Linked DNA regions of Yarrowia lipolytica. The main gene of each other region encodes a partner of the protein of the gene in region 2 in a complex. Links are inferred from orthologs where the notes say so. Each region holds a gene or a part of one and is shown on either strand. Other genes may lie near its edges.

What was found.
Region 1: YALI1_F24126g (region 2) and YALI1_E02415g share a complex: the UniProt entries of both Schizosaccharomyces pombe proteins name them as parts of the mitochondrial large ribosomal subunit. The link is inferred for Yarrowia lipolytica from reciprocal best matches to the Schizosaccharomyces pombe genes mrpl37 and mrpl31.
Region 3: YALI1_F24126g (region 2) and YALI1_F13602g share a complex: the UniProt entries of both Schizosaccharomyces pombe proteins name them as parts of the mitochondrial large ribosomal subunit. The link is inferred for Yarrowia lipolytica from reciprocal best matches to the Schizosaccharomyces pombe genes mrpl37 and mrpl9.

The regions. Positions count from the first base shown.
Region 1 is NC_090774.1:240,435-242,620, forward strand, and holds YALI1_E02415g (mitochondrial 54S ribosomal protein mL60), read left to right. Parts: upstream 1-1,131; coding exon 1,132-1,181; intron 1,182-1,268; coding exon 1,269-1,557; downstream 1,558-2,186. Other genes in the region: YALI1_E02413g (uncharacterized protein), read right to left, coding at 1-951; YALI1_E02432g (uncharacterized protein), read right to left, coding at 2,089-2,186. UniProt on the Schizosaccharomyces pombe protein: Component of the mitochondrial ribosome (mitoribosome), a dedicated translation machinery responsible for the synthesis of mitochondrial genome-encoded proteins, including at least some of the essential transmembrane subunits of the mitochondrial respiratory chain.
Region 2 is NC_090775.1:2,411,626-2,413,907, reverse strand, and holds YALI1_F24126g (mitochondrial 54S ribosomal protein mL54), read left to right. Parts: upstream 1-1,295; coding exon 1,296-1,616; downstream 1,617-2,282. Other genes in the region: YALI1_F24130g (uncharacterized protein), read right to left, coding at 1-900; YALI1_F24115g (uncharacterized protein), read right to left, coding at 1,946-2,099, 2,196-2,223, 2,270-2,282. UniProt on the Schizosaccharomyces pombe protein: Component of the mitochondrial ribosome (mitoribosome), a dedicated translation machinery responsible for the synthesis of mitochondrial genome-encoded proteins, including at least some of the essential transmembrane subunits of the mitochondrial respiratory chain.
Region 3 is NC_090775.1:1,359,144-1,361,790, reverse strand, and holds YALI1_F13602g (mitochondrial 54S ribosomal protein uL3m), read right to left. Parts: upstream 1,520-2,647; coding exon 665-1,519; downstream 1-664. Other genes in the region: YALI1_F13644g (uncharacterized protein), read left to right, coding at 1-372; YALI1_F13597g (uncharacterized protein), read left to right, coding at 2,082-2,647. UniProt on the Schizosaccharomyces pombe protein: Component of the mitochondrial ribosome (mitoribosome), a dedicated translation machinery responsible for the synthesis of mitochondrial genome-encoded proteins, including at least some of the essential transmembrane subunits of the mitochondrial respiratory chain.

The DNA.
Region 1 (2,186 bases), on a different chromosome or scaffold from region 2:
CCTGAAGAACTTCAGAGACGCGATTTCAAAGTTGGACCAGAAATGGCAAGTGGAGTATCCGCCAGCCTGGGCGTTCCAGTCTGGTCTGCTGGGGTTCAGCAAGAATTGCATGGCATTGTCTTTGTGCAGATACTCCTTGTTCTTCATCAAGAAGGATTTAGTTTCCGGCCATAGGGTGGCAACGGTTTTGGGGTTGTCAAACAATGCAATGGTGAAGCCATACACCTTGTCATTGTCCTCCATGTATGCAAATACATCGTAGTCGATGTCACAATAGTATTGGGTGTCGGGTTCAACGCGCCAGTACCAGTCATAATCGTCCATGGCCTTGTGCTTGTAGAACATACCCGAGTTCCATCTGCACATCTTGTGGTAGGAGTCCATGGCACCATATCGTACACCAGCATCTTCCAGCTTCTTGCCGGCCTTCTTGGCCTTGTCCTTGTCGATCCATCTGGGGGCGTCCCAGTCCTTCTTTTCAATCAGCTCAAACTTGACTTCAGAGTCAGTCTGTTCGCGCACCTTTTCCTTGAACTCGTCGGTGAACTCTTCATCATTGAAAAAGATCCAAGGGTAGCCGAATTTGTGATTGAATGTGTCCTCGACCTGCACCATGGCATCCACAATACCGTCCAGCTCTTTGTTTCGAACAAGAGAGATAAGAGCGGCTTTAGTTCGCCGCGTGTCAGTGGCGCGAACAAGAGGCTTGGCACTGACAGGCTCGTCCACCTCTTCAAGCAGGGGATTGTTCTTCGGCGTTAAGTCCTCTTTTGGTTCCGTATATTGCAGGAATGCATCGTTGGGTTGCTTGTAGATGCTCTCCTCTTTCAAGAAGTCCGCATGTGTTCTGGTCCAGTCATCTTGTAACGAGAAGTAGATCAGGAACACGAGCAGACCGAGCGAAGCCGTCACCAGCAGCAGGAATAGTCTTCTGACTATCAGCGGGGTCATATTGTTAGGATGTGGTCCTGTCTCAATCGATTATAGTTAATAAACCTGTCGCGACACGCGAACACTAATCTAGTGTGGGCGTTGTAAATATGTCCCAACCAGGAATCGAACTGCGGGATGGAAAATTCCTCTTCCATACTTGGTGAGAACACAGATACAGAACACACACCTCATCACACAATGTTTGGGCCTTTTCGACAGTCTATGGTCACCTTTGGTGGCTACGTCCAGTGAGTATCATATATGAGCGACACGAATGAAAGTGTTGCCTAGCTATGCGGGATTTTCCAGCCACTCAAACATCATCTAACCATCAGCAAGCAGCGATACCGATGGAGATTGTCTCCTACACAGAAGGCTGGCCAGCGAAAGCGAATGAAGGCCGTCGACTCAGTCATGGATGTTCTGCGATCTAGCATGGAGAAGCTCGGCGTCACTCCCAAGTTCCTCATCAAGGCTGAGACCGAGTGCCCTCCTTCTTCGGCCATGCTCCCCAAGGACAAGTACACCGTTTTCAGCAAGAACCACAAGGGTTACCGAAAATCCGTTCACCGGGTGCCCAACTTCACCAAGACTACCAACCGAAAGAATCCCCTTGGTTTCTAAAATCCCAACTATTGGCCCTATACACTTGTACATATTAAATTATCTGGTATGATGGGAAGATCCAGCTGTGGATCCGAGTGCTGAGATTAAAGGGAAGTAATGTTATTCATTGAAAGTACAAGTACGTAGTACTGTACAAGTCATTGTAGTGTAGCTAGTTCGTAGATTTTAGTTACAAATACTATAATGTTTCCGCTCTATCCGTAACACTTCTGTGTATTTGCATGTGGTAACAAATCTTTTGGAGCAAAATTAAAGAGATGGTATACTGACATGATTGTGTTGATATTAAGCTGATGTTACTGTAGAGGTGAGAACACACTACAAGTACAAGTACAAGAATTGGTAAGAAACTATGGTTATGCGACCAGCACCCTCCACTATTGTACATCTCTCGCAGTAGCTACAAGTAGGGCGCATACTGTAGCATATCAATTTGCTACAAGTACCGACTTCACTCTGCTCTCATTATGTAATTATAAATTAATCGTCTATTTAAGTAATGCTCATATGACCCAGCCAACATTTTTTTCACTTCTTTCGCTCAGCCTTCCACTTGTAGCTGACATTTCCATCCTTGACCACCTTCTCCTTCTCGCCTCCCTTAGCAAGTTCTCGATCCAGATCCA
Region 2 (2,282 bases):
TTGCAGGTCGGCAAATGCAGAGTTAGAGTTGAAAATGATGAGCAGTCGCGACAGAATCTCGGACAGAGAGGCGTCTCGGCCCTTAGAGCCTACTCCCTGGCTCTCGACACAGATGTTGTAGTGCAGACCCCACACAAACACCTGGGCAGCGATGGGTAGAGTGGTATCCTCGAGGTAGATCTTATAGTCGAAAGGAATGGTTTTGTAAAATTCGGGGTTAGACTCGGAAAAGGTGTAGAGATACTCAAAGGCAGCAGAGAGCACAGCAGAGGGGAACTTGGGATTCAACTCAGCCTTGGTCTTTCGCAGCTCCAGAAGAGCAGCCACGGTCTGGACGCCAGCTGGCGAAGAGGCGATGGCGTCGAAAATGTCATCGGAAGTCACGCCCATGTTGGTGAGCAGAGACAGAATGTTTTCGGCAAACTCGCACAGTAGAGTGAATTGATCTCCTTTGGGGATCTGCTGGGAGCCGTTGGCAATGTTCTGGCAGGTGGAAACAATCTTCTCCAGAGAGTCGGATGCAATCTTGATGACGTTCTTTCGGAACATGAACACGGCCACGTCGTAGCCCTCCTCCAGGACAATGTTTCGCAGCAGGCCGTACGACTCCATGACAACCTCCTCGGAAGCGTCAGGAAGCAGCTTGTCGATCACAGTCTGGATGAGCGACTCCTTGAGAAGCATCTGTCGCAGCTTAGGATCCTCGACCATAGCTGTGATCATTCCAATGGCAGTGCACTTGTCTGCGGGCTTGCCGCCGTTGAGCTTTTCTAGCAGAGGCAGAATCTTGGTGGTTCGTGTGTTTTCATCCTTGCGGTCGTCCTTGGCGGCCTGGGACGCCTTTCGGGCGATGGGGTTGTCTCGCTTGGTGTGCTTGGCTTTTCGCTTGATTTTTGCCATTGTGTTTCGTGGTTTTGTGTGTTCTTAAGGATGTCTATGAAGTTCTTTGATTTCTCACTCTGCACCAACTTCACAATTTTTTAAACTCGTGCGTCTCTAAGGTGCTTATTCAGCGATGGAGTGTAAGAGGAATATGGGTGAGTATTACGATATGTTTTTTTGTGTTTGTTTTTGTTTTTTGGTGAGAAACTATTCCAAAACACGTCGGAAAAACCACTCGCGGGTATTTGTGTTTCTTGCAGCCCTTCATATATCCATTTTAGCCACTTCTTTATTGCCGGCTACCACAAGTAGTGCTTCCCTCATATCCCTAACCCTCAGCATGGTCCTCGTCAACTGAAAAACTTAGCATATCGAAAACGACAAAAACGTCACTACACACAACTACACACAACATGCTTCGACTCCTGACCAGATCGCGGGCCACCCCCCTCCGTGTGATCTCGCGTGCATACTCCACCCCCTCGCAGCCCAAGGTGCCCTCCAGCGTCGCCGCAGGAACCGTTCTCAAGGGTTGCAACGTGCGAAAGAACGGCCAGGACCCCGTGGCCCTGGAGGACTCAGAATACCCCCAGTGGCTGTGGGACATTCTTGATCCCGCGGCCCAGAAAGCCAAGCTTGCTGCCGACCCCGTGCGAGCGGCCCGAAAGGCCCAGAAGGCTCGAGCCAAGGCCATTATGCAGGAGAACAACTTCGTCTCCAAGATGAACAAATAATCAGATCCGGCATAAGTCTGCCCAGTCTCATGTAAATATGATGTATATATGTTTTTTGGTTGGTTGGTGAAAGAAGAGTGTAGGGTTGTGGAGGCTGGTAGCGAGACGAGATAGGCACCTACATAAACAGTATGTTTTGAATACAACTTGTATATATATCATAGAGGACGGACATGAGCTCTATGGCTTCAGATATCTAACTGCTGCATCTGTTTTGTGGATCATCTACCCCAGATCACTACATCAGATTCATACCCCTTGTCAACTCACCACGTCCTCGGATCATGGGTAGTCCACTCAGTTAACATATCAATTGTCTATATGCACAATTACTCCTTTCCATCCTTGGGGAGAGGACCGCCCTTAGGAATCTCAACTTTCTGGGCGTTCGCCAGAGCAGCTTTTCGAGCCTCTATGCTCTCAGCAATCTCAGGATCGATCTTGACGCCGGGCTTGAGGTTTCCGTCGATTGCCAGCTGTTCACTTGGTTAGCTGTTGATTGAGATGGTTATTGGTAGCTGACGCGCTTGTTGTAGCTGTTTCTTTTTCGAGCAGCCGGTTCGTAGTTCCTATACTCACATGATGATTGGCTTGAACCAAAAGTAGGCTGTGTTAGTGGGTGAAAAGCTGAGAATCAAGGTCGAGTTACTCACTGGTCGATGCCAT
Region 3 (2,647 bases), about 1.1 Mb from region 2:
GATCTGGTCGAGTCCAACGCCATCTCGGTGCCTCTGTACCAGCCCGGCCAGGTGCCCGATGGCACGTCCAACTCTGTCTATCTGCGGCAGTACATGGGCCACATGCTGCTGGAGGCCTTCCCTCATCTGACCGAGGGCCAGGTGTCCAACTTCATTGAGGGTCTGTTTGCATTACACAAGGACTTCCCCCGGTTCAAGCTCAATCTGCGAGACTTCCTGGTGCAGATCAAGGAGTATGGCGGAGGCAACACGGAGCATTTGTACGCCGAGGACAAGGAGCGGGATCGGGTCGAGGCCGAGCGACAGAACAAGGAGAAGGCTCTCAAGATTGGCGGTTTGGTCAAGCCCGCCGATATGGACGAGGATTTGTAGATCATGAGCGGAGCCAAAGATCCGAGCAAAATTGTAAGTGAGACCATCCATATCATTCAGTAAATATATTGTTGAAAATATCTGTGTACCATCGTACGATACTAGTACGAGTATTTGTGCCCGTATACTTGTACTTGTAATAGTATCTTGTATGTACAACTACTTGTAGCAACGATTCGCCTGGAGAGGGCTGTTGTCCACGACCTTATGCGGTTCTACAAGCCATCTATCTACCCCGTCGATTCTCTGTTATCCGCTTCCGCGGTTATTGCACTATGCGATCTATATACATTTATTCAGGGACCAGAGGACCGAGTCTGGACTTGACATCATGGGCGGCCACGCCGTACATGTTTCGGGCGTCGCTGAGCTTGACAATCTTGCCCTTGGAGCCGGGGACCATGCCCTTGACAATGACAATTCCGGTGTCCTCGTCAACGGATAGCACCTTTTGGTTCTTGAGGGTGACGGTCTCGTTACCCATGTTTCCGGCCATTTTTCGTCCGGGGAACACTCGTCCAGGATCGGTGTTTTGACCGGTAGTTCCTCCGGATCGATGCTTGAGCGAAACACCATGGGAAGCGGGCAGACCGGAGAAGCCGTGTCGCTTCATGACTCCGGAGAATCCCTTACCCTTGGAGGTGGCCTGGACATCGACGTACTGGCCGACCTTGAAGTGCGAGGCAGTGATCTCGGTGGTGATGGGAAGAAGGCCGTCCTTGCCGCGGATTCGAAACTCGGCAACCGCCTGCTTGGGGTTGACGGTGGCGGCCGAAAACTGGCCGAGTTTGCTCTTGTTCATCTTCTGCAGCGCCTTGTTTCTGTGTCCCATTCCGACCTGGACGGCGTTGTATCCGTGCTTCTCCTCGGTCTTGTGGCCCACCACCTGGCACAGATCAATCTCCAGCACCGTGGCGGGCATGTGCACGCCGTTCTCGTCGTACCACGAGATCATGCCTCGCTTGAACGCCAGAGCTCCGGTTCGAGACACCAGCTGCTTTCGGGCGTAGGCGGCCGCAGGCGAGTTGTTTCGAGCGGGAGCCTCGGCGGCGGGGACGTTGGCGTTGGGCGAGATGAGCTGGGCCACGCCGCGGCTGAACACGCGCACGGGAGTGGCCTCTGCCATGAGACGGAGTCGAGGCAACATTTTTGTGTGTGTGATCAGATCTGGGTGGTGGTTCTGCAATGTCAAAATCTTGGGAAATTTCACGGTAGGGTAACTTTGAAGCTAGGTGGGAGGACCAACCTGCGTTTACTTAGGAACCGAGGGGGGGTAATGACAACGGCTGAGAAAGAGCTGAAATACCATGGTGGACTCTGCAAGTTGATTGCCGGTGTCATTTTTTTCAATCCCACACTTTTTGGTGCTGGTTTGAAGTCATCTGTTTCCTCGATACAATTGTAGCTATTTCTCAAGTAACGCTGAGTCTGTTTGTTAAGTAAGTTAATCTGAGGTGAAAGTAATCTTAAGCGGACAGTATGACCATCGATAGGGGTCTTTTTCCCCCCAATTGCCCATAAACCAACCCACATCTACAGTGCAAATCTCTCTGTTAGTTCTTTCCGGTGCAACTTGCTCCCAAACACCTGCTACTGGTGGTCTTTGGAGAGCTCCTTCTACCCACACCCATACAAACTATAAAAGCAAATATACCGTACGTCTTACAATATCAGAGCAGTCCACCACACACCTCGCACACACTCACACAATGCTTCGACTACTGCGTCCCCAACGAGCTCTGCCTTCGTTGCTGCGACCTCTCTCGGTCGCCCGACCCCTGTCCACAACCAGCCGTCTGTGGCTCCACCAGCAGTCGACCGACGCCAAGAAGGACGACGAAAAGCTGCTGCCCGAAGACCGAAACCTGCGACGTTACGAGGGCCACACCTTTGAGCCGTTCACGCCCGAAAAGGTGCCCAATGCACCTGTCACCGTGGACACGGAGCTGCCTAACATTACCAGCCACAAGATGCGCCGATGGGCCGGATTTGGTCTGTTTGTGGTCATCATGACCGTGTCTCTGGCCTTCTCCTTCAACTACGAGAAGATGTCGTCTTCGCAGGTCTCATCTTGCATGTACACGCTCCGAAAGTCGCCCCTGGCCAACGAGGAGCTGGGCTCGGGTATCCGATTCGCCAGTGCCTACACCTGGGTGTCGGGAACCATTCGTCCTCTTGTTGGAAAGGTGGACTTCTCCTTCCCCGTCAAGGGAAACAAGGCCGAGGCCATCATGCATTTCAACTCGCGACGAGCCTCCGGCCGAGAAAAGTTCCG